Linked DNA regions of Oryzias latipes. The protein of the gene in region 1 binds, or shares a complex with, the protein of each later gene. Links are inferred from orthologs where the notes say so. Each region holds a gene or a part of one and is shown in the gene's direction. Other genes may lie near its edges.

Region 1 (7,679 bases):
GAGCAAGATCGGACCGGAAGAAAAACTATAACAGTGTAGAGATAGATAAACATTATTTTAAGGATAAAAAGGGAAATGATGTAGTAAAGTCAAAGCCATACCTCCCGTGCCGGTGCTGGACTGACTTGCTTCCTCCAGCTGTTTGTCCTCCTTCTCCACAGTTCGGAGGTAGAGCTGGAGCAACTCCTTGGACTGTCTCTCCTCCTCCCTACGATCCAAAACATTCTGCAACGTCTCCTGCAGGTCCTCAGCCTTTTTCACTTGAAAACCCAGAGCTGCTGCTAGTTCGGTGCTAGGAGCATCCACCAAGAGCTGAAAAACAAAAGTTGTTTGTAAAGCAACAGCTGTTTAGAACTGGATACAAATGTGAGGCCATATTTTAGTGTGTGTACTAAGCTCTAGATATAATACACAGCACAGGGAGAGCATAATCTATAAGGTTTATTTTTGTCAACTAACCAAACGTAAACATATATATTTTTTGAATAAACAACAACAAAAGCAAATATGAACTAAACAACAACTCCTAATTCGTTAGGAGTAGAATCTTGTGTGGAGTTCTTTAACTTTAAATGAAATAAAATTAATCTGATCAAAGGTTTTCTTGAGTTGAAGAAACATTTTTATTTTCATAATGTAATTTATAAAAGAGCATTCAAACGTTGGCCTTTGGTGCTTTTGTAGGGTTGGATTATAAAGTAGCTTCACTAATTAACTTATAAGTCCTAAAAAGCAGTTTAAAGGTACGAAAAATGTAGAATATTCTACAATTGTGGCTTGCTTGTGGGAAGCAGAAGCACATAATTGTGTTGTAAAGCTGACATTTTGGAATTCAAAAGTCTGTGGTTAGAAAGATTATTTCTGATTATTTAAGGAGTTTCTTCGCCTCACACGTGTATATGTCTATGCATATTTACCTAAATGTTAAGTACCAGGAAGCGGTGTGCAGAAGACTAAATTGTTTATTTGAATGGGGAGACAGATATAAAGTCCAAAAAAGTTATGGAATTTTGAGTTCTTCAAATTGACTTTGACTAAAACAGAAGACTTTTGGTGCTAAAGCTTAGAAGCATCTAACACCAAAGTGGAGTTTCTTGGCCATAATGACCAATAGTAAGTTTACGGTGGCATAGAAAATATGGTTTTATTTTGTTTTGCAAGTCAGAGAACTTTCAAACCTTATGGTCACTGACAATATTCCAAAAATCTTTATGGAAACCGCTAAACTGTTATTTTTAAGTTTTATTTTCTCATATACCAGGCAGTTTTGTGCTGTTCTATCACTGAAATAAGAACAAGGTAGGACCTGTAAATCGGCCTCCGACATAAGAATGATGCTGGTGAGGTCTTGTTTTAGCTGCTGAGCCAGGTCCAACCAGGGTGCTAAGCTACTGCCGGTGTCAACAGTGTCCATCTCCAGCATAACCGATTCCCTCTGCATCCAAGCGGTGCCACCATCGACTAAAACAAAGAGTACCAAAGCACAACATGTAGAAATCCTGCAGACGGATAATGATCATCAATATGGACTCTGAGATTCTTACTCTTGCGAGCTGGAGACCATGTTTCCTTGTCATGCAATAACATAAACTTTGTATTTGAGGGCAAACACAAGAAGTAGGTTTGATCTTCTACTATTGTCCCGTCATTCTCCAGGACCACTTTGACTGGGTCACCGGGGCTGAAGCCAAGATACTCGGATCCTGGAGCCGGAAGAGAGGACAGGTTACCAACTTAACATGCATCAAGTGAACATACTTCATCCTAAGGTCCACAGAAAAGTCTGACACCTATGGGAAATACCAATGATAAAAACACTACAGTAAGGACAGGCATGTCCAAAGTCCGGCCCGTGGGTCAAATGCAACCAATTTCCACCAGCCGGCAACCTCAATAATATGCGGCCCACAGCACTTTCTAAGAACTACAGTTTCTTGATTGTGATTGGCTAGATTGCGTTATAAACCGTGGACCTATGCAACAACCTGTAGACATGAAGAGATTTATTTGTTTCTGTCATCAAAACCACTTCTGACTAACATAATATTTGTGTTATTTCATTGTTCAATGATAGAAACTGACAAGTTTACAGTTAGCCTTTAACAGTGAATAATTGGATCAAACTGGTTTTTATAGGCCAATTGGATGGCCCTCACACATTTTCACCTCACCAAATCTGGCCCTCTTTGAAAAAGTTTTTGTTCCAGTATAGCTGGAAAAAATAAAAACGTTTTCACTGTTATTAAAAATACATATTGTTAAATAATTCTCAAACAGCTTTCATAACAAATCTGCAAAACACCTTTAATAAGCATTCCGATTAAAAGGAATATATCACAATTATGGAACATGTATAAGTGCACAAAAGAAATATTTAATAATAATAATAATTTTAAAAATGCATAAACTATAATTGCTGGTTTTAGTTGTTGTTGTTGTTGTTTGTGTGTGTGTGTGTGTGTGTGGGGGGGGGGGGGGGGGGTTGTGAAACATTGTTTTGATTCCAGATAATGAATATTTAAAGTATATTCTTGCAAAAAGCAGATCAGGGAAACGCCTGGTGACTCGCATCTCAGGAATGAACAGCAGCAGGCTTTTCATGTTAGCCATGTAGGGGTTAACATTGAACAGATAATATAATTATAGTCAAATACATTCATAAGCATTAAGAATAGCCTAGTATTATCACCGTTGTTTTGCGGCTTAAGCAGTTTTAAATGTGACAGTCAGTGCAGCGGTTGGAGATTTTCTCTCAATTTAGGCGCGAAGCAGATAAATAAAAATAAATGCTTAAAATCTGCGACTGCACGAATACATGAACGGCTTCTTATTTTGATTAAAAGCATATAATGTCAGATAATCTCATACTAGTTCCCACAGTCCTCCTTCTCGGTCCTCCCTTACCTTTTTTCTTCAAGTCATCTAAAGAAGGTGCAGACACTCCGTAGGATTTTTGCCGGGTGAAATTGCACACTTTACACGCCTTTCCATCAGTCATTCTTAAATTTATTCTGAAAGGATAATATTATTCGGTAAAGGAATCTACAGAGAATGGGAAAACCCGCTTTGAGCTCTCAGCCACCTTTACTTCTTCATACACGGAAATAACCGCCGAAGGGCGCTATGAATTGTGGGAATTGTTGTTTATTGTTTGAGAAATGGGGAAAGGTTTAGTCTACCTATCTCCACTCTGTTTCGTAATCCGCTCAACGTATTTCGCAACTGAGAGGGGAAAAATACATCACTGTACTTTGTTCCGATGAAAGTGCATCCCAACTAAACTAAATAAAACGCTTTAAAGAACTTTGATGTTTCGAATGGACGGAACAGGAAAAGCAATCGAGCGTGGATATCCCAGAGAACTATAGGAAGATGGCATCCATCGACCAAGCTGACACGCCAACACAGGTCTCTATACACCAAGCCAGTTAGCATTTGACGTCCGAAAACATTTATGCACCATTTGTTTGAGTTGCTATTTTGTGGCTGGTTTCCGTACACCTTTTAAGCAAACGTTTCACAGCCGAAGAGAGGTAGCTTGTTTGCTAGTTAGCATGCTAACTGGTTGTGTTATTTTAAAGTGGTCTTCGACACATGGGAGGTCAAAGGCATTCTGGGGTTCAGCAACAATTATGCATTTAATAACTGACCACGTGCTACAGCTTTCTATATGGCGGTGAGGGTTTGGGTCTGTCAAAGTCATGGATTATAATTGTTGACACAGGGAAAGGTCACAAAAAAAAAAAAAACCTCGGGATTTTATATTCGACATTTAATGTTCCACGAACATGGATCAAAAATAATTTACTGCAGTTACAATGCTTTATACGGCTAAGCTTCACCATATCTGAAATGCTACCTTTATGTTTTCACAAATTCAGTAATCATGGTGCTCTCCAACTCACTTTAACGTAAAAGTCGATCCCAGAGCAGTCTTAAAAGTTTCCAAAAGTCACCACACTTGTCTGGGTAAAAAATATTCGCACATTCTATCATTGCACTTTAAATTTCACAGTAGTCTTCTATATTAAGTCATTAAACACCAAACAGTGTCATTGGTTCCCTCTAATGCACATTACTATGATTTGGAGCTTTTCAGTGTCCAGGTCCTGTAATAAGCCCAAAATAACTGATAAAGATGTTTTTGTCACATTCTACCTTGTCCTTTTTTATTTATTTTTTTACTTGGAGGGCACAGTATTATTGTGTTTACACCCTATTTGTATACTTTATCTTGTTATCTTCAACCTAAAATGGTCTGTTTGCCCTGAGAAATATGATAAGAAAAACTCCAAACCTTTAACTTTGCCATGAGGATTCATCAAGAGGGGTTGGAAAGCCAGTAACTATTGAAAAAAAAACTGCTTTTTTAGTTAAATTATTAGTAACTGTTGTTGAAATTATGGAATATTTCCTGTATTTTTGATGTCTTCTATTCAGACCTAAACTTTCACTGGTATAATTTTTAAGGATCAAACTCTAGCTTAAATTTGATATGATTAAAAAAAAAAAGAACCCCTTAAATTATGTATTTACTTTTGGGGTCCTTTTTAGGTAAAAGTCTACTGAATGCATTTAGCTGATTGCAGATGGAAACATTTAAAGACGTGATGATTTTTGGAACTGAAGAGAATGCATTTATCCCTTGTGCTATCCTAGGCACTTTAACATTGGGAGTTGGGTCATCTAGACCCCACAAGTCAGTGCACTAAACCTTTTTTCTTCAATGATTTGTGATTTTCACTGGTGTCCATGGATTCCATGAAATCCTCTTCACCTTTATCCACCTTTGTCATGGTAGGGAGAACACATCAATGTAAGGATGGGGTCATCTGGACCCCATAGGATAGCACAAGGGTTATATGTGTAATTACTTCTGCATAAACATTTAAAAACCCATGCGACATTGATCTGCTTTAGTATGAGGCTAAAGAACAAAACTTAGTCTTCCCGAACTGCCGTAAACTTATATTTTTTCCCTCATTTCATTGTTGGATTTTAACAATATTTAATTAATAACTTTATTTAGATAGCACTTTTCATCAACACACGTGCCCGAAAAAAAAAGATGTATATTTGTTATAACAACAAAAAGTCAAAAGACCAACATAAAAAGGAAGGACATAGAATATACATTAAATGCAAGAAAAATTATTACAGCCAGTTTTTAAAATGTATATTATTTTTTATATAAATAGCTAACCATATATAAAGTGGTTGTTGGGGGTCCTATCAATTGAAAAGTAGATATTTCAGTTTCTTGGTTACTTTCTAATAAATAAGGTGACAGTACTCTTGTTATCCACTAGATGGCTCTCTAACACAAGTGTTTGTCTTACAGGCTGGTCCTCCACGTGGTGAAGATGGAGCAGTTCGCCCCAGAGAAGCTTTGGTAAGAAGTTTAGGAAAAACTATTTGACAAATGAGACAGAGACAGTTATAGCATGCGTGCTTAATTGAAATACAAGTTTGGCTGCTGGTTTTTGCCTGTTTATTGTGCTTACAAAGATATTTATTGTATTTCTGAGAATTTAAGTTTATTTAAATCAAAAATTATTTATACATAAATAGCAATCTTGGGAAAAAATTCTGCATTAGTGTTTATTCTTTTATTAAATTGTTGAGTTAAATTTTTAGAATTGTTTCGAGAATGAAACATTTTTAAAAATTTAATCAAAGACTTTTAACCATCAGATTTTTATTGTAAAATCCTATTGTTTTATTGAATTATAGCACAAAATTACTTTATTCTCCTTAATTTTAAATAATAAAGATCCAATCTCCTCTGTCTGAAAATCAGCTATTTAGTATTGATCATTTATAGCAAAAAAGTTATCTTTGTTTGGCTTTAGGGGTGGTTTGCTGTGGTTTATTTATAACAAATTCATGCATTTATTGTTCATAGACTTGCTTAAAGCTCAGAAACTCTTAGAGCAGTCTCTTTTCTTAGTTTGGTGTGTTTCTTGTCTTTACAAGAAGTCCTAGAAACCAAAGAAATGCTGTGAATCAAAATGATTGGGTTTTACATGAAGAGCTTCATAAACCGTGTCATTGAGGTACAGTGAGCTGTGTTCACGTTGACCTGAGCGGCTGCAGCACACGGTAGTTTCCTAAGGCCGTAGATTATGACTTTAAGAAAAATGGCGCAGGGAGACATGCCACTAACCAGTTGCCTCTTACTTGATGACCTCCTCTGTAAGCTGACTAAGCAGTTTAATTTGTGAATACCAGGAAAATATACGATTTAAGTGCAGTGAAGATCAGTCTTATTATTTGAAATAACATGTAAGGGAGGCCTAGCGTTGGTCATTAAAGGGTTTGAGCATTCATCCCAGCTACGTTCATTGTCCTTGTATGTGCACAGGTTGGAGTAGCGCTGTATTGTTCAGCCTGCATGTCTCAATGTCATTCACTACCATTCACTCTTCATCTTCCCCCCATCATCCCTTCATGCCAAGGCTAATTTAATCCTGGCTTTATTGATTGTGGGAGCATTCTCCCAGGCTTTCTTTCAATTTACTTCAATTTCGTCATCCCAGCGCACTTGAAGACGGCCTCAAAAAAAGGAAGAAATTCTTGTTACGAGGGTCTTGATTCGAGACCGCTTGACAAGTCCCAGCACCACCCTCACTTCCATCCCCTTCTTCTCTCCTCTCTTTTTGATGAGCTGCTCTTTCCCAGTTAAGTGGATTATTACAGTAGGGATAATTCTTGTCACATGGCATTATTTGGATGAGGTGAATAATTGAAATTTGTGTCTGAAAGGATTTTATCTGGATGAGAGAAGCAGGAGTGCTGGGAGGGTCGTGAGGGACAATGGAGTATGCGCTCGCGCACGCACGCACATATTTGTGTAGTGTCTACGCGCACACGGCTGTGTCAGACAAACCAGCGTGTCAGACTGGGGGACACCAGTCATGCTAACAGGTTGTGACTCACCTCGCCCAGATTAGCCGGCCATGGCACACTGCATGTCATGAACTCTCCTTTGTGGCAGGAAGGTCCGGCTCATTGTCCACAGCAGCGCAAGAGGCCCGCTGTGGACCTGCAGTGTGTGTTCTGCAGCCACCAGTGCTGTGTTTACACCACCGTGTCTTCCCTCCATCCACACTGATCAGTCCGTTTTGAATCCACTCAAACATCGAGCAGACCTGCTTGTCGTGCCTCACTTGAATATTTTTGCAGACTAGTAACTAGAAGAACTTGTAAGTAAACAACTTAAAAATGAGTTCTGGTTTGTAACTCGATGAAGAATTTTTTCTTTCATTGAAATTAAACAGTTCTTACTAATGTAGTAATTATTAGGGATGCCACAATTTTTCCAGCATTAAACCAAATTGTGGGGAATCTTTGCATCTCTACTGCACAGCGGTACGATGAAAGTCTCCAACAATTGGGTTAGATTATAGAAGGATTTATTATTTATTGTTACATTACATCACACCAGGCTTAGAAAGAACCACCTGAAATGTGTTATTTCATTGTCCTTCTTATTAGCAAATTAAAAAGGACTTTTCTACAAGCCGTGATCCAAAAATTGAGGTTTGAACGGAATTGTGGGAAAAGTGAATCGCTGTATTCCTATTCATTATTGACCAAAAATTGTCTTAATTTGTTGTTTTTGAAGTGTAACCCTTTTTAACTTTTTTAAAAGTTTCTATAATTTTAAAATAAAACTG
Region 2 (7,715 bases), on another chromosome or scaffold:
GGGTCATCTAGACCCACTAGTCAGTGCTCTGAACCTTTTTTCTTCAATGATTTGTGATCTTCACTGGTGTCCATGGATTACATGAAATCTTTCCACCTTTATCCACCTTTGTCATGGTAGGGAGAACACGTCAATGTAAGGGGGGGGGGGGGTCATCTAAGATAGCACAAGGGTTAAAATAGGTTGAAAAAAACTACTCAGTTCGTTTTTGGGTAGAGGTGGAAAAATCAACACCACTTCTCCTGTCACCAACATTTTACTGTGGATGGCATGAAATCAGGAAAGTAATGGGGGAGGAAATGGCACAAGGGGAGAATTTGAAGTGTGGAAACACTTTCTCCTCACACGCAGCATGGAAAACATGACACAAACAGACTTCTGCAAATGAAGAAAAAGCCAAAAATAGGTTCCCACATCAGCAGAAGACAGTATCCGCTGCGACTTTTCATGACAAATGAGAACACAAAGCAGACCAGGAAACCCTTGTTTGCTGCAGGCTCAGAGGTCATGTGTGTTGTTGTTTGAGCCGTTGTCATGACACAGCATCACTTACACAATTATGCTTCTAATTCACTTAGAGTCAAATCTGAGGGTCAAAAACAAAACCTTCAGTGTTGGAACGCTATCCTTGTGCGTGTGAGTCACCGCTGGCTTACTAAGGTTTAAGTTTTTCCCAAATACCTATTTTGCTCAAAAACACCTGTCAGAAACAGGTTCGGACCATCTGGACACACGCCATCTCTGGTTTGAATGAGGCAGACAGGTCTTCTTAAACAATGAGGAAGAGTTCTGCCTGGTTCTGTTCAAACAGAACTTTCTGGTTTACATTTGCATCAGAGCCAGAACCCTCCGGGCAGGTTTTGGTACAAATCCAGGCTAAAAGAGAGTTAATCCTCCTCCTAAATGTGCCATGAGTGTCACACTGTAAAAACTCGTGTAGAGCTTCAATCATTGATGGTGAAGGTGGGTGTGCCGCCTGCCACGCCCTGCGCCGCCACAAAAGACTCAAAACTAAAAACAGAACTTCGTGACAGATCCACATGCGTGTGCTTAACCCTTGTGCTATCCTAGGCACTTTAACATTGGGAGTTGGGTCATCTAGACCCACTAGACAGTGCGCTGAACCTTTTTTCTTCAATGATTTGTGATCTTCACTGGTGTCCATGGATTACATGAAATCTTTCCACCTTTATCCACCTTTGTCATGGTAGGGAGAACACGTCAATGGTCATCTTGCCCCCATAGGATAGTACAAGGGTTAAGATGTTTTCAATGCTGATCTCTGTCGATGCGGCAACCCTTTTAGTCCACTCGTCAGGCACGCAAAACATTTCAAAAGGTAAAAAATGATCATAAAACATACAATTATTCAGACATGTGGTTCCAAATGAAAACAGAAATTCCTTCCTTTGCATTTCTCTCCAACCCTGACGCCTCCTTACCTTTCTGAAACTCGGCTGCAGCTGTTCTCTCTCCTACAAGATGTGCAGTGGAAGTTAGGCACAGACTGTAAATCCTCACCCCCTTGGCTGCTCTAGAGTGGTCCCAAGGAGAAGAGCCCCGCCCAGAAAACCAAATTAGGCCTCAAGTATCTGCACCATTCTTTATGTGTGACTAAGCTCCGCCCACATTGTGTTCCAGGCTGGACCTCTGCTGCCCACACCCAGCATGAGGGAGTTTCTCCTCTTTTCTTGATACTGCAGAAACTGCAGACTGTGTGCGATACAGAGAACTGAATGCAGTGAGAAATGTTCTGTTTGAAGTGTTTGCCTCATCAGACTGACAGATTTTCCTTCATCAGCTCACAGATCTGCATCCCACTAGAAATGCTGCTAAAGATCCCAAAAAATAAAAGAACTGCAAAAGGAAAGAGTTTCATTTTCTGAAAGAGGGGGAAACACAAAAAGTTCATGTGACAAAAGTGGTGTGCCAGGTGTGGCAACGTTGATTTGAATAATGTTTGCCAAAATAATAAAATGCAATTACTTATCACATATATTTTAAAGGTAACAATGTTAATGAATCCACAAGGAAGACAAATGAACCTGTGAGAACACACCAGAACTTTCATTGGCCGCTCGGCTTAATGTTAGTAATAATTTAAAAAAACGTTTATCAATTACTTTCCTTTCAACTTTGGAGTAAATTCAACAAAAAAAAAAAGATTTATAATTCAAAGCGATGTGCATTTGTGTCCAGATGTTCAAGAGTGTGTCAGTGTGGTAACTGTCACAGCCTTTTTAGTATTTTTAATAAGAAAAAGAAAAGGCTTTACAATCCAAAAGCCAAATGTTTTTATTTCAGTGGTGAACTTTAGCAACAAATGTTAAATGTACTTTTTAAATAAACTTATTAATTCTTTCCTTTATTTATTATTATTATGTAATCTTTGAAAGGAGAAAAAAAAAGGTTTAATACTGAATAATGAACTTGACTCAAAACAAAATGTTAAAAATTGTATTTAGGAGATTCATACTTTGGTGCAACAACTCTTCTCAGGCATAATAGTTAAATGGTGGTTTTAAACGCCATGCTCTGGTTGTACCCACAAAAAATGTGGCAAATCTTCTGTACCTATAAGAAAAATCTTCTATCGCATCTTTTTTTTTTTTTGGTGCCTCCCGGTGCTGCCAGACAGCTGAGAGCATGGACTCTCCTACAGGGGTCAGTGTCTGCTCCAAGCATCAGATAGGTGCCTCATGATCAGCATGACACTTTTCACTACTACTGATTGGAATGTTCGTGTGCTGCAGACTGACTTCCAACTGTTGTGCTGCCAAACCATGTTGCAGTGTTTGGAATCACACCTGTCTGCACCCTTTAATGCTTTAATGTCCAAAACCAAGCAGGAGCCGTAACGTCCCACTTTAATGTTTAGATAACTACTGTGTGACTATTAAACCATTCATTGATCAAATGTATTTTAACATTATTTATATAATGTTTCAGGTATTAATATTGACAGAATCATACCAGTCCTATATTTTTCTAAAGATAACTTTTGACAGCAGAAAAGCAAGTTCTTTTCAAAATAAAATACATCCTGTATCAACTGAGGTCCTCTTGCTGCTGTTGCAGTTTTACTTGCAACTATATACGTTTAAGAACTGTAGGACAGCTGAAGATAAGAATATATGATTTAAATTTATTAAATAAAAAAACAGTTCTAACGGTAGATTAAACCTTTAAGCATCATTTTGCCAATATTTATCTGACGTTTGCATCTTGGAGGAGTGGTCAAGCTCCCAAAGCCTCTTTGTAGTTTCATGACAGCAATAGTTTAAAAATAAGACAGTTTTCTATGCTAATTTAAAATTTTGAGAGTGCCAATAAACCCATTTATTGCTAAATGCTAAAAAGAACTTAATATACAGATTACATTAAAATCTCTTTTTTAAAAAGGTGTATAGATATATATTTTTTTTACTTCAAGCACATTTTGAAGACAAATATTTCCGAAAAAGACTCACTTAAGTTGCAGAGCATAAAACTGTGCCACTGAACTTTTGATTGTTACGTTTTTAAGTTGATGAAACGGTCGGTGGTCACGAAAATGAGGGACAAAGCGTCACATGTTGATCCTCCTGCATGTGATCCGCAGAGAAAAGCTGTTATGCCTACTCACGCCACCAGGTGGTGCCAGATTTCGGTATGGGCTTGTGACGTAGAGTATGTGCGACGTTTTTTATAGCCAGAACGTCAATTTTGTGAGACAAAGCTGTCTTAGCATTATGGCGTCCGGAGGAGAAGAGGTGTCCGGTGGAGTAGACGCAGAACTGGACGAGTTACTGGACAGTAAGTTCGTCAGGAAGGAATATTAGGTTCACCCTTTTACGTGTCTGTCTGTTGCTAGGAAGATTTCGCTGCTTGGACACTTCTGATGACCGTGTATAAGCTTCAGGTGCTCGGTAGCAGTGACAGTTACCAAAGTATCGCTGACTGACAGCTCGCACGGGCTTCAAAATAAAGCCAGTTTAAGCCGTTTTCAAATGTTTTTGGATATTAATTGTTTAAAAAAAAGTGGATTATAGAGATATAGTTTATAGAAAATGTTAAAGAGGTGTTGTTATTTTTTCAATATTACAATATTGTCAAAATTTTCAGGAACATTTTATTGTTGTTTTTTTCCTTGTTGATTTATAAATACTTCTAATATGTCATCTGTGGTTGCTTTGTGTTACTTTTATAGTTTTGTCTTCTGCTGTATTCTTAAATGTTATTGTTCAGGTCTAGTTTTAAAATAGAAATTATTGACAAATAAGATAGATAGATATCTTAACTTATACTAGGGATGTAAAAGAAAGATACAGATGTTCATCAAAAAGGGATCAAGCACAGAGAATCGCAGTAGAATTGGTTGAAAAACCACAGATACAAACAAGTGTGGGTAAAAATGTGTTAAACTGTTCAGGAAGTTATAAATTCTTCTGATAACCATTTTTCTCACATCACATAAAACAATACATGAATAAATTAATATGACACCTTTTTATTTAAGAAACGAAGCAGCCTACAATGCAGGTTTAAATATTCATTGAATGAATAATAAATATTCAGATTGTATTTGTTTAGTCAAAAGAATTGGACTTTATCCTGTCGCCACAAAGTTAGTTGAACCTTTTATGCATCGATTCATGGACCAAATATTGAGATGCGTCTACTTACTTATCATTTTGTCAGCTTGACCTCTTCACTGCTGCTGCATTTTATGTTTATTATCTGATCAAAAGTAAAACAGACTGACCATCCAAACAGAAACTAAACAATTACTGAGCTGAAAGTATTGCTTTTTTTTTTAAGGCAATCGATCAAATATTTCATATATTGCTTGGATAATAAATGCCTACTGCTGTGTCTTTTTCCTTTAGGCGCTTTGGATGACTTTGACAAAGCCTCCTCTCCTCCGGCCCCTGAAGCTGCAGCAGCCTCTTCCTCAGCCAGCAGTGGTGCAGAGAAGGTCTGTGTCTGCTTCTGTTCATTAGGATTCAGCTGCCTTCTGCTTGGACTGAAAGACCCCATCAATAGTACGATCTTCACAAGTCTTCCATTTCTGCCTGTAGCCCCCCCTGCTTGAGGACTGCAAACTCTTTGAGAGTCTCTTTGAGGGGGACATGGCGACCCAGGCCAGGGACGAGTGGGAGAAGGCCATGTCCGAGCTGGCCCAGGAGGAGCCAGAACTGCTGCAGCACTTCCAGAAACTGTCAGAGGCAGCAGGCAAAGTCGGTAAGAGGAGTTATTTGTTGTGAATCTTTGTTATACTGAATGTGTCGGTCTTGCAGTCTAAGTTGCGTGTTTGCTCCAAACAGGGACAGACACAGCTTCCCAGCAGGAGTTCACTTCCTGTCTGAAGGATACCCTCCGTGGCCTGGCGAAGAATGCAGACAACCTCCAAGTTGGCTCCTTAGACGTAAAGGAATATTGGTGTAAAGCTTTTGAAGGAAAATAATGACAATTGTTTTGTTTTACCCAGTCTTCAGGTCTAGCTGGAGATGACCTGGTTAAGGCTCTTGAGGGTCTTGGGTTGGATGAGGGTGGGGAAGGGGGTGGAGACGATGGGAACATCCTCCCCGTCATGCAGTCCATCATGCAGAACCTGCTCTCTAAAGAAGTGCTGTATCCTTCTCTCAAAGAAATCACCACTAAGGTCTGCAGATGTTTCCTCTGAACCCATCAGACTCTGAATCCACTCTTCCAGCTTTGACCGTTGACGTCTCACCTTCACAGTACCCAGAGTGGCTGCAAGCAAACAAGCCCAGCTTAAGTGCAGAGGACTACCGCCGCTACGAACAGCAATCCAAAGTCATGGGAGATATCTGCAAGCTCTTTGAGGCCGAGGAACAGGGAGTAGAAAACAAAGAGAGAACTTTTGAGAGCATCATGGACCGGATGCAGCAGGTGATGCAGCTTTTTTCTTTTGGGACAATATTTACAATTGATTTGTTTATTTAAATTTGCTTTTTATGTTTTCTGTTTTGACATCATCCACATTATTCTGAATCATAGTAAAAGTCACAACACATCACTTTTTCGACGATCCAGCTGCAGGATGTCCATCATTTATGGATGTGATGGTTGCAAAGCTCTTTTAATATCTTTAGGGACTGTTGATGGCTAAACTGTTTCCCTGTAAAACTGATTTTAAAAAGGTCACTGAACACACACTGTTATTGCCGTTACGGCTAACAAGCAGCATTTAAAAGTTTAGATATTGTAAGCTCAAAAAATACCCTTCAAACACAAATTTCCCAGTTATTATCTTCTTACAGAGATAATAACTACATTATAATTATATTATAATTTATACTATAAATTAAGTTATTAATGTAAGCTTATTAAAAATGCGCCTTTAAGCATATCCATGGACAAAAAATGTTGTGTTTATTAGTTCAAACATGCAAGGTTTTTGGTTTTTTGGACAGGAACTCAACTGTTTTGTGTTTAATTATCTCCTTATAGCTGCAGGATCTAGGCCAGCCACCCAAGGAATTGGCAGGAGATGTGGTAAGTTTGGCTTGTTTCTTGCATTTCTTTTTTTATATATACTTTTTTTTAAATTTTCTTATAAATACTGATTTCACGCAGTATCTCAAACATGCTTACTGGTGTCTGTTAATAGCAGAGGCTCTTTGATGAACAGTGGGAGAAAAAAGGTTTTAGTCAGCCACCAAGTGTGCCACTTAAATAGATGAGAGTGTGTGTGTGTGTCATTTTCATCTGACTTTAGATGCTTGCTAATGAACACAACAGCCTCCAAACTGTCCCCAAAATGATCAAGACTATTCATTTCTTATACATTTATTTATTTTTCCAAATTAGCTCAAATAGTCTATTTTTGTGAGGCTCATTTTACCAAAACCTCCCAATGTTTTTGCTGGATCTTAAGCTCCAAGATGAGGATGTCAAGCCAGCCTGATCACAGACCAAACAATCCAATATGGATGGCACTAAAATGTGTCACATTGTTAAATCAAATGTTCTTTTGCTTCAAATTAAAACACTGACAGACTAGAACGTTAAGTCTGGTCCCTGTCTGCTGCAGAAGGAGCCACAGTAGCACACGTGTTGTGAGGAAGGACAAGTTATTTCAGTCTGAAAGTTTAAAGAATAAACTGAAGTTTGATCATAGGTGCTAAAACTTGCGGCGCCTCACCTTATGCACAGGTGCACCTTGGGTAATTTTTATTGCATGTTCCCTCATTTGTCTTTCTTGTCTTGCTGACTCCACACGTTTTAAAGAATTTTGATGGACTCTTATTTTATGCATATTTTAGCGCACAGGTCCCCAACCTTTTTTCAGGCCACAGACAGTTAATGCTGGACAATATTTTCATGGACCTGTCAGTACGAGGCTGAAGTAGACGTCTGATTTTATTTTATTTTATTTTAGCTTCCAGTTTCCCTTAACTTTTGAGGGTAAAGTTTACCTTCATCCTCTGTAAAATATCTGCAGCTGCTTTCAAATTCATTTTTGCCCTAGATTTCTTGGAGGAACCAATAAACTGTGATACAGATTTCCCCCTAACCAATAACTGTCAAAGGGAAAGATGCCAACTTCAGAAACTTTCCAAAATTTTTTTGCTGAATTTGCTACCTTCTGGGTTTTCATTGTAGTTGTTTCAGCCGTTTTAAGAAAGCAGTGGGTGGATTTTCAAAAGTGCAACCAAACGACCTGACGTGCATCAAGAATGAGTCGGATGTGGAGAGAATCCAGTAGT
Region 3 (7,140 bases), on another chromosome or scaffold:
TAATTTAATTCTTAATCTTAATCATAAATAAATATATTTGTGAAAAAGTGTCTTGGTAAGTTTTTGGCAGTATTTAGAGTTTCAGTTTGCCAATAAAAGTTGTTTCCAGTCCTTTTCATTTTTTGGTCAAAGTCTAAGTTAAAGTAATCAGTCATTTTTAATTCATTTTATTGTCATTTGCACAACAGTCCTTTGTTCATAAATCTATTTAATCTGTTGCTTTCATTTTTTGTTGTGAAACAGAAATGCATGTATTTCGCAATCCTTATTTATTTATTTTTTTTAGCTTTTACGTACTCTAGTGGGGTTTGCCTCTTCCTTCCGTTGCCATGGCGATGCGAGAATTGGTGGAGGCCGAATGTGGTGGAGCCAATCCCCTCATGAAGTTGGCCAGTCACATGACCAAAGAAGAGGGGACATGGCAGCACCGCACCAGCCCTGCAGTGAGTAATGTTGGGCATTACTAACTAATGTAACATTAGCTGTTTTTTTTATTCCATTACAGCAGAATAAAATGCATTTAATGAACCGGTTCTGTTTTCTTTACCGCTTTTTCTCAGATTCCACCAACTCCTATTGAAATTGCAACCGAACAAGAGGTCTGTTTAGTTTTCTGTCCCTTTATACTAAAATATCCTTTTAAATATTTGAAATATTCACCTCAAGTTTTTAGAATTGTTATATTTTATGCATGAAAGCTATCTTTCAAATACTTACAGCTGTGAAATGTTTTTTCTTTTTTTTTTTGGTTTTTGCTCCAGTTGGTGAATGAGTTCCTTCAGGCCCCGCCACGCCCCCCCACCACATTTGACATGGGTCAGCTATTAGAGGAAATGCAGCAGATCGATCAGCAAAGCTACAGACAAGCTCCACAGAGAGGTGCACATCATTCTTCCAATTTATTCATACATTTTATACAATTTTTCTCTCTGCCATGTGATCTCAGCACATTTCAGAAAATGATATCCTCACTTCTTGTTTTAGCTCCTGATGTGGCCGCACTGGCCCTCTCTGGTGATTGGGCTGCCGAGTTCCTCTCCAGTTCGGATTCTGCCACCACACCGGGTCTCACCTCTCTTGGTGATTCAGCAGATTCTGATTGGACCAGAGAATTTATTGCTGAGGCTGCAGGTAACTGGAGTTTCTTCCGGTCTATGATTTACTGCAGTTGTCTCACTGATTTAGCGGATCTAACTGTTATCACATTTTAATGTTTATAAGCTACAATATGTACATTACAAATGTCTTTAAAGTCCCCCTCCATTAAAAATCATGTTGTTGTTTTTTTATGTATATCTGACATTTTTCTTATGAAAGAGAACAAATGTAATAAAAAATAATTTCTTTTTTTCATTTCTGAGTATTTCTCCTTTTAAATCAGTGGCAATTAAACTGACGCAAAGACGCGCTGTTTATATGAATGAGGCGTTGTGATGTCACAATGGCCTAGTAGTGCAAGCGCATTGCAGAAGCTCCCTGATCTGCCCCGCCAGGCGTGCACAAGCTCAGGTGCGTGAGAAGAGAAGATGGTGCATTGCTGCATTGCCTGCACATATTTTAAGTGCATCCAAGGCTGGATTTTGTTTTTGACCACATGTATGAAAAAAATCAAAGTGGCCGAACCGCGTTTGGCCCCTTGATCAAAGGTGGGGCTACTCAGCTCAGCACCAACAGCCACACCCATGTAGAGGAGATTTTGGAAACGGAGGCTTCAGATAAACATGAAATATGCCTTTTTACAACATTTAGGTTGTGGGATTTTGATTCAAAACTTCAGAATTATAATCAAAACACAACATTTTTTTAATTGTCATAGGGGGACTTTAATTTATTCTGTTTAATGTATTCCTCTCCAGACCCTGGACGCTGGGCAGAGGAGTATCTAGAGCAGTCTGAGGAGAAACTGTGGCTCGGAGACCTTGGAGACAAGGAAAGTGAATGGTGAGAGGTGGGCCATGCAAAGCGTGTGGATAATAAAGTGTTTGCAGGAAAAAGTCCTTCAGGCAAGCATCAGTGAGTGCGCAGTGGCAGCCTGACACCCCTACAGGAACAAAAGAGGAAAAGCTCCAAGGGAGACAAACGATAACAGATCTGAATGCAGATTTAAACCTTGAACGCTTTCTTAAGCGAATGTGTCGTTTTATGTCCACCCATTTACTTTTATCCTCTTCTAACTTTATGCATTGAGGCTAATTGTACCCAGAGCTGTCCATGCATACATATAGGGCCGTCTGAATTCTAAAGCTAATGTATAGAATATCGGCCTTGGCTTCTACTGACGTCTATTGAAAGCACAGCCTTCAGCAAACCTGAGTATTATCTCCAACCTACATAAAGAGAAAATAACAGAACAGTTGCTCTGCTTCTATTACAATCTTGTGGTATATTTTGTATTTGTCTGGCAGGACTAAAGAGTATCAGTCAGGAGAAGAGCTGAGGCAGACGGCAAATGAACTTGTTGCAAAGGTCGATGACCCCAAGTTAAAAAACACAGAGGTGAGTGCTGTCCTGCTCTGTCATGAATCAGTCATGTATTTTTTCCCTTCATATCTGTCGCCTTATTGTTTCTTGTTCTTTAGTATTAAGTGTTGGCTTTATAACCATTAGAAGAGTCATGTAAAAACAACCAATTATCCCCAATTAAAACCGCTGCTCAGTAACAATTTTGTGATATAAAGTTTTTTTTCTTTACTTTTTTTTATTGTTCCCCTCATTGTTGTGTAGTTCCTGAAATTCGTTAGGCAGATTGGCGAGGGAAGTGTGACAGTGGAGAGCAGAGCAGACAAACAGCTCACAGATAAAGCTCAGGCTGAGGAGGCTCAGAACTGGGCCTCCAACCTCAACCAGGTAGGAGTCACTGGCCTCTGAGGATGGTATTGCTACAACTAACAGCTGTATGTTTTGGGGGGGGGGATGAAATTGGTTCATGTTGCATAGGCTATGCAGTGTGACTCACCTCCCCAGTATCTGATGCAGTGCACCATTTTCCATGAAGGTAATCAAAAGCAGCCACCAGTTTCCTAGTAGTAGGAATCTCAAGGCTGCGCAGTGCTGAAGATCCAATTTGTTTTGAAAAGAAGAACTCGGCACGATTAGCTTTTCCTCTTAGAAATTTAGTTTAGGTTTAATAATAAGTTTAAGGTGTTAAAATGGTGACTCGAGGCAATACGACTTTCATACAGGGAATTTAAAAAGCTTTACAGTGATTGAAGATTTTGCCAGAGCAGCTTTGGCTTTGAATCTAACCATACACATTGTTGGCGAACATCTGAGCTGTTCAGCTTGTTGGTAGCAAAAGCTCAGTGTTCCATCAGTATTTAAATTTACTGCAGCTCAGAAATAAAAAAGTCCCTTTCCAATCATCTATTGATCAAAGTCTTCTCAATAGCTTTTAACTATGATTATGCTGTTTTTAGCCAAAATCAAGAAACCTGCCGTTTTCCAGGACATAGTTTCTGGAGAGCAGCAGGAGTTTCCACAAAGCAGCCCCGCCCCCTCTTCCCCTCCCCGTTGATGTAGAGCTCAGAGGAGGGAGCTTGGTTATTTTCTACGTCACAAATAAGGTCTTCTTCCAACTGCATTATTTTGTCTGCATCTGATTCACAACAATTTCAATAAAGAAATCCTCAAATTCAATTTTAAGCTTAACGTACTTAATATATGCCTTCCATAGAAAAATCATGCCGCTAGAAAATGTTAAAAACACGATTTCCATTGGAGTGGGTCTTTAAGTGAATGTCACATTTTAGAAGTCAACTTTTTTCCCCAAAAATACAGACATCCTTGGCCACCAACAAAAACATAAATAAAATGAATACAGTAATTATAAAGCTAATGTAGAAGTGAAGTCAACTGGCTACGCTGATTGAAAAGAGGTGCTGACATGACATTTTTCATTTTTGCGATCATGTTTTGCATCTTACACTTTTTTTAAGAATAAAAAGGTGACTTTTCATTCATCTTCTAAACCCATTTTATCCCTTTCTGGGTGACGGGGCTGCCAGAGCTTATCCCGGCTAACTCGTGGGCAAAGGCAGGGTACACTTTAAACAGGTCGCCAGTCTGTCTCAGGGCCAGAAATCACACACCCATGCACTCTCACATTCACACCTAGGGACAATTTAGAGTAACCTATTAACCTATGAAGCATGTTTTTGGATGGGGAGGAAGCCGGAAAACCAACTCCACACAGAAATGTCCCCCATTGATTCTGTTTCAGGTCCCCCAGCCAGGACCTTTTAAGACATGAGCCTTCTTGCTGTGAGACAAGAGCTGTTAAAAAGAAGTTTATAAGTCATTGAGAATGTATTTGTTACAATGTAACTTCATTTTTAGTTAACGTTTTATCGACAAACTGGTAGTTTTCAGTACAGTACCCTCGTTTATTGCAGGGGCTACTTTCTACAAATAACCTGCGATAAACAGAATCTACAGGATTTTTACTTTTTAATATTAACACTGTGTTGTGTGTTTAAGGCTGTAAAACCTCACTACAAACTTTAACATTCTCACACATTCTCTCTTGTTTTAACTCTCAAAGATTCAAACCTTTGTAAAACAAAAACAAAAAAGTCTGGCACTTCCGATTTTACGCTGGTAGCAAGCAAAGATTGATGTAAACTAGTCAAGCTGAACGCTTTCTGTAAAGGAGATGCAGCATGAGGCAGATTGATTGATAGTGGTCTACAGCCAATCAGGATGCAGAGCACAATGTGCTGTAAAAATGAAAAAACGTTTTTAAAAAATCAGCAAAACCCCAAAAGGTGAATCACATTATTATAGCATGGTACTGCAGGGTTTAGTGTCCAACTTTGTTTTTAGTGTCTGCTGGTTTCATTTATTCATTCATTATCTGCTGATTTGACAGGATAGACTATCTTCCTGCTGTTTAGCACGTCTTATTTGCTGAAATGTTGCCTTCTCAACCCAAAGAAAAATAGACTATCCCAGTTAGATTAAGTTTAATTCATAATCATGCAACATTGTCATGTGCTTTGCTCATTTCGGCTTGCCATCCCCTTTCATGTTTTACATTTGTCATGTAACATAGACAAAAAAAAAACCACACAACTCTGTTCCACCAACCACCCCCAAAAATTTTCCCTACCCACCGCTTCCTTACCCTCAAATCATTGCCCCATGTGCCTTCGCCAAACCCTTCCACCTCACGTCATAGTTCCTGGTGGAGACGGGGGGAGGAAGTCTTCCCTTGGAACGGCAGGAGATGAGTCAGAAGATTGAGAAAGTTAAAGCTAAACAAGCAGAGCAGTGGGCCAAAGTCATCAGGCAGGTAGGACCTTTGCAGTGGCGGCAGCACTAGGGATATAGGGGTAGTTGTGCCTGTTTTTTATTAGAGCTTTGCTTCTAGTATTTTTTGATAGATTTTTATCTGTCATTTAGACTCTTAGATAAGCCCAGCCGACATTCATTTAGCCTTTTCAGGCTTTTTTTTTTTAATAAGCAAGGAGTAGGAAAAAGGCTTTTTTCCCCTTTTGTCATTCCTGCTGCTTTTGCAATACTTGTGTTGTTATGTTTCTGCTTGAAGCATCCCAGATCTCCATTCTCATCAGATTTCTTAGCTAGTAGATTTCTGTCATCCGCTGCCAATGGTTTTATTGTTCTACAGGTTTCAGAGGAGTCGGCTGAAGCATGGGTAGATGAGTTCACAACAACAGGGCCGGATTTTCATCAAGCCAAAGCTGCAGTGGAGGTGAGCCAAACTTTTTTAAGTCCAAACCCAAAGCTTTTGTCCGATACTCAGGAGATTTAGCTCTTTTTGTTATAAATTTAGAGGAAGGAGGAGAAATCCAATCAAGAATTTTATCTTAATATGTCCTTATTAAAGCAAAATAATCCTGTTTTAGTTGAAGTTATTTCTTGACACGGTCGTTCAAGCCATCCACGCTTTTCTGTGGATAACAAAAGTCAAATAGTGTCTGCACTGTAGAGAAATGATTTGAACTGTGTGGGAAACTGTAAAATGGATGTGTCATTTTGTCAGAGTGATGTGGATTTCTGGGAGAAGCTGCAGCAGGAGTGGGAGGAGATGGCCAAGAGAGATGCAGAGAGCCATCCCTGGCTGTCTGACTTTGATCAGTTACTCAGCTCTTCTTATGACAAGGTAGCTGTCAACCTCCTCCATGCTCGAATCCTTTGAGAAATGGTGCTGATGTTGAAACCTTGTGTTGTATTACATTCTGCTGTAAGCCCGAGAGGTTCTTTTGTTTATAATTTGTCATTGGATTCATCATCATCAAAACATTTTGACCAGTTTGGTTGTGTTTTTTTTCTGTTTACTTTAGGGTTATCAATTTGAAGAAGACAATCCTTACCTGTCCCACCCAGACCCTTTGTCAGAGGGGGTTAAAAGGATGGAGGCAGGGGACATTCCTGGAGCCGTACGGTTCTTTGAAAGTGCGGTACAGAAGGAACCAGACAACCAGCTGGTGAGATTTCCTGTTTTTAGTTGCTAAACATTTATTTTTTTTCATTTTGTAATGGAAAGAGTCCACATTGAGTTTGTGGCATTTCTTTTTAACAGAAAGCAAAATATGGTTTTATTAAATTACCAATAGTAATTCTTTTTCTTTTAATATTTTTTTTTATTAACGAGGTTTATTCATTTAAAAGGTGAGTGTGAAATAAAGTGTATCTATTTTTACGTTTAAATTGCAGGCTTGGCAATATCTGGGTACCTGTCAAGCAGAAAACGAGCAAGAGTTTGCTGCCATCAGCGCCCTCCGCAGGTCAGAATGCAGAAGTGAAAAATCCAGCCTACAGGCTTAATGTTCAAAGCAGAAATCTGTCTCGCCAGGAAGTGCTGCAAGTTTAAGTGCAGTAAATAATATTTAGCTAAACCATTTTCTATAATTCTGTTTTAAGCAATAGGTAGGAAACAAAAATATATATTCTAATTTCTTTGAGTGACATTTTTCCTCCTCCCATTGTTATTTTTAGGTGTATAGATCTGAAAAAGGACAATTTGACAGCACTGATGGCGCTGGCTGTTAGCTTTACGAATGAGTCGCTGCACAGGCAGGCCTGTGAGACTCTTCGTGACTGGTTAAAGCACAATCCTAAATATCGCTCTGTGTGGGAGCAGCATGAGCATGAACGCCAAAAAGACGGTCCTGGAAACAG

The links.
Region 2: the proteins of pex14 (region 1) and pex19 are in contact, whole or in part, in an NMR structure (PDB 2W85), measured with the Homo sapiens proteins. The link is inferred for Oryzias latipes from reciprocal best matches to the Homo sapiens genes PEX14 and PEX19. Residues at the interface, in NP_004556.1 of Homo sapiens: Leu28, Thr31, Ala32, Lys34, Phe35, Asn38, Ser39, Arg40, Val41, Ser44, Thr48, Phe52, Lys56, Leu58; in NP_002848.1 of Homo sapiens: Gln67, Phe70, Phe71, Leu74, Phe75, Ser77.
Region 3: the proteins of pex14 (region 1) and pex5 are in contact, whole or in part, in an NMR structure (PDB 4BXU), measured with the Homo sapiens proteins. The link is inferred for Oryzias latipes from reciprocal best matches to the Homo sapiens genes PEX14 and PEX5. Residues at the interface, in NP_004556.1 of Homo sapiens: Thr31, Phe35, Asn38, Arg40, Val41, Ser44, Pro45, Thr48, Arg49, Phe52, Lys55, Lys56; in NP_001124497.1 of Homo sapiens: Glu59, Leu62, Val63, Glu65, Phe66, Leu67, Gln70.

The regions. Positions count from the first base shown.
Region 1 is NC_019865.2:9,511,572-9,519,250, forward strand, and holds the start of pex14 (peroxisomal membrane protein PEX14), read left to right. Parts: upstream 1-3,137; 5' UTR 3,138-3,372; coding exon 3,373-3,408; intron 3,409-5,341; coding exon 5,342-5,392; intron 5,393-7,679. Other genes in the region: dffa (DNA fragmentation factor subunit alpha), read right to left, coding at 102-312, 1,307-1,461, 1,545-1,703, 2,905-2,998. UniProt on the Homo sapiens protein: Component of the PEX13-PEX14 docking complex, a translocon channel that specifically mediates the import of peroxisomal cargo proteins bound to PEX5 receptor.
Region 2 is NC_019875.2:3,244,374-3,252,088, reverse strand, and holds the start of pex19 (peroxisomal biogenesis factor 19), read left to right. Parts: upstream 1-3,703; 5' UTR 3,704-3,731; coding exon 3,732-3,795; intron 3,796-4,868; coding exon 4,869-4,957; intron 4,958-5,060; coding exon 5,061-5,223; intron 5,224-5,306; coding exon 5,307-5,407; intron 5,408-5,470; coding exon 5,471-5,644; intron 5,645-5,724; coding exon 5,725-5,895; intron 5,896-6,456; coding exon 6,457-6,501; intron 6,502-7,715. UniProt on the Homo sapiens protein: Necessary for early peroxisomal biogenesis. Acts both as a cytosolic chaperone and as an import receptor for peroxisomal membrane proteins (PMPs).
Region 3 is NC_019874.2:20,504,394-20,511,533, forward strand, and holds part of pex5 (peroxisomal biogenesis factor 5), read left to right. Parts: intron 1-286; 5' UTR 287-329; coding exon 330-443; intron 444-560; coding exon 561-599; intron 600-761; coding exon 762-879; intron 880-984; coding exon 985-1,131; intron 1,132-1,856; coding exon 1,857-1,941; intron 1,942-2,405; coding exon 2,406-2,496; intron 2,497-2,724; coding exon 2,725-2,847; intron 2,848-5,176; coding exon 5,177-5,290; intron 5,291-5,626; coding exon 5,627-5,710; intron 5,711-6,001; coding exon 6,002-6,121; intron 6,122-6,302; coding exon 6,303-6,446; intron 6,447-6,675; coding exon 6,676-6,746; intron 6,747-6,957; coding exon 6,958-7,140.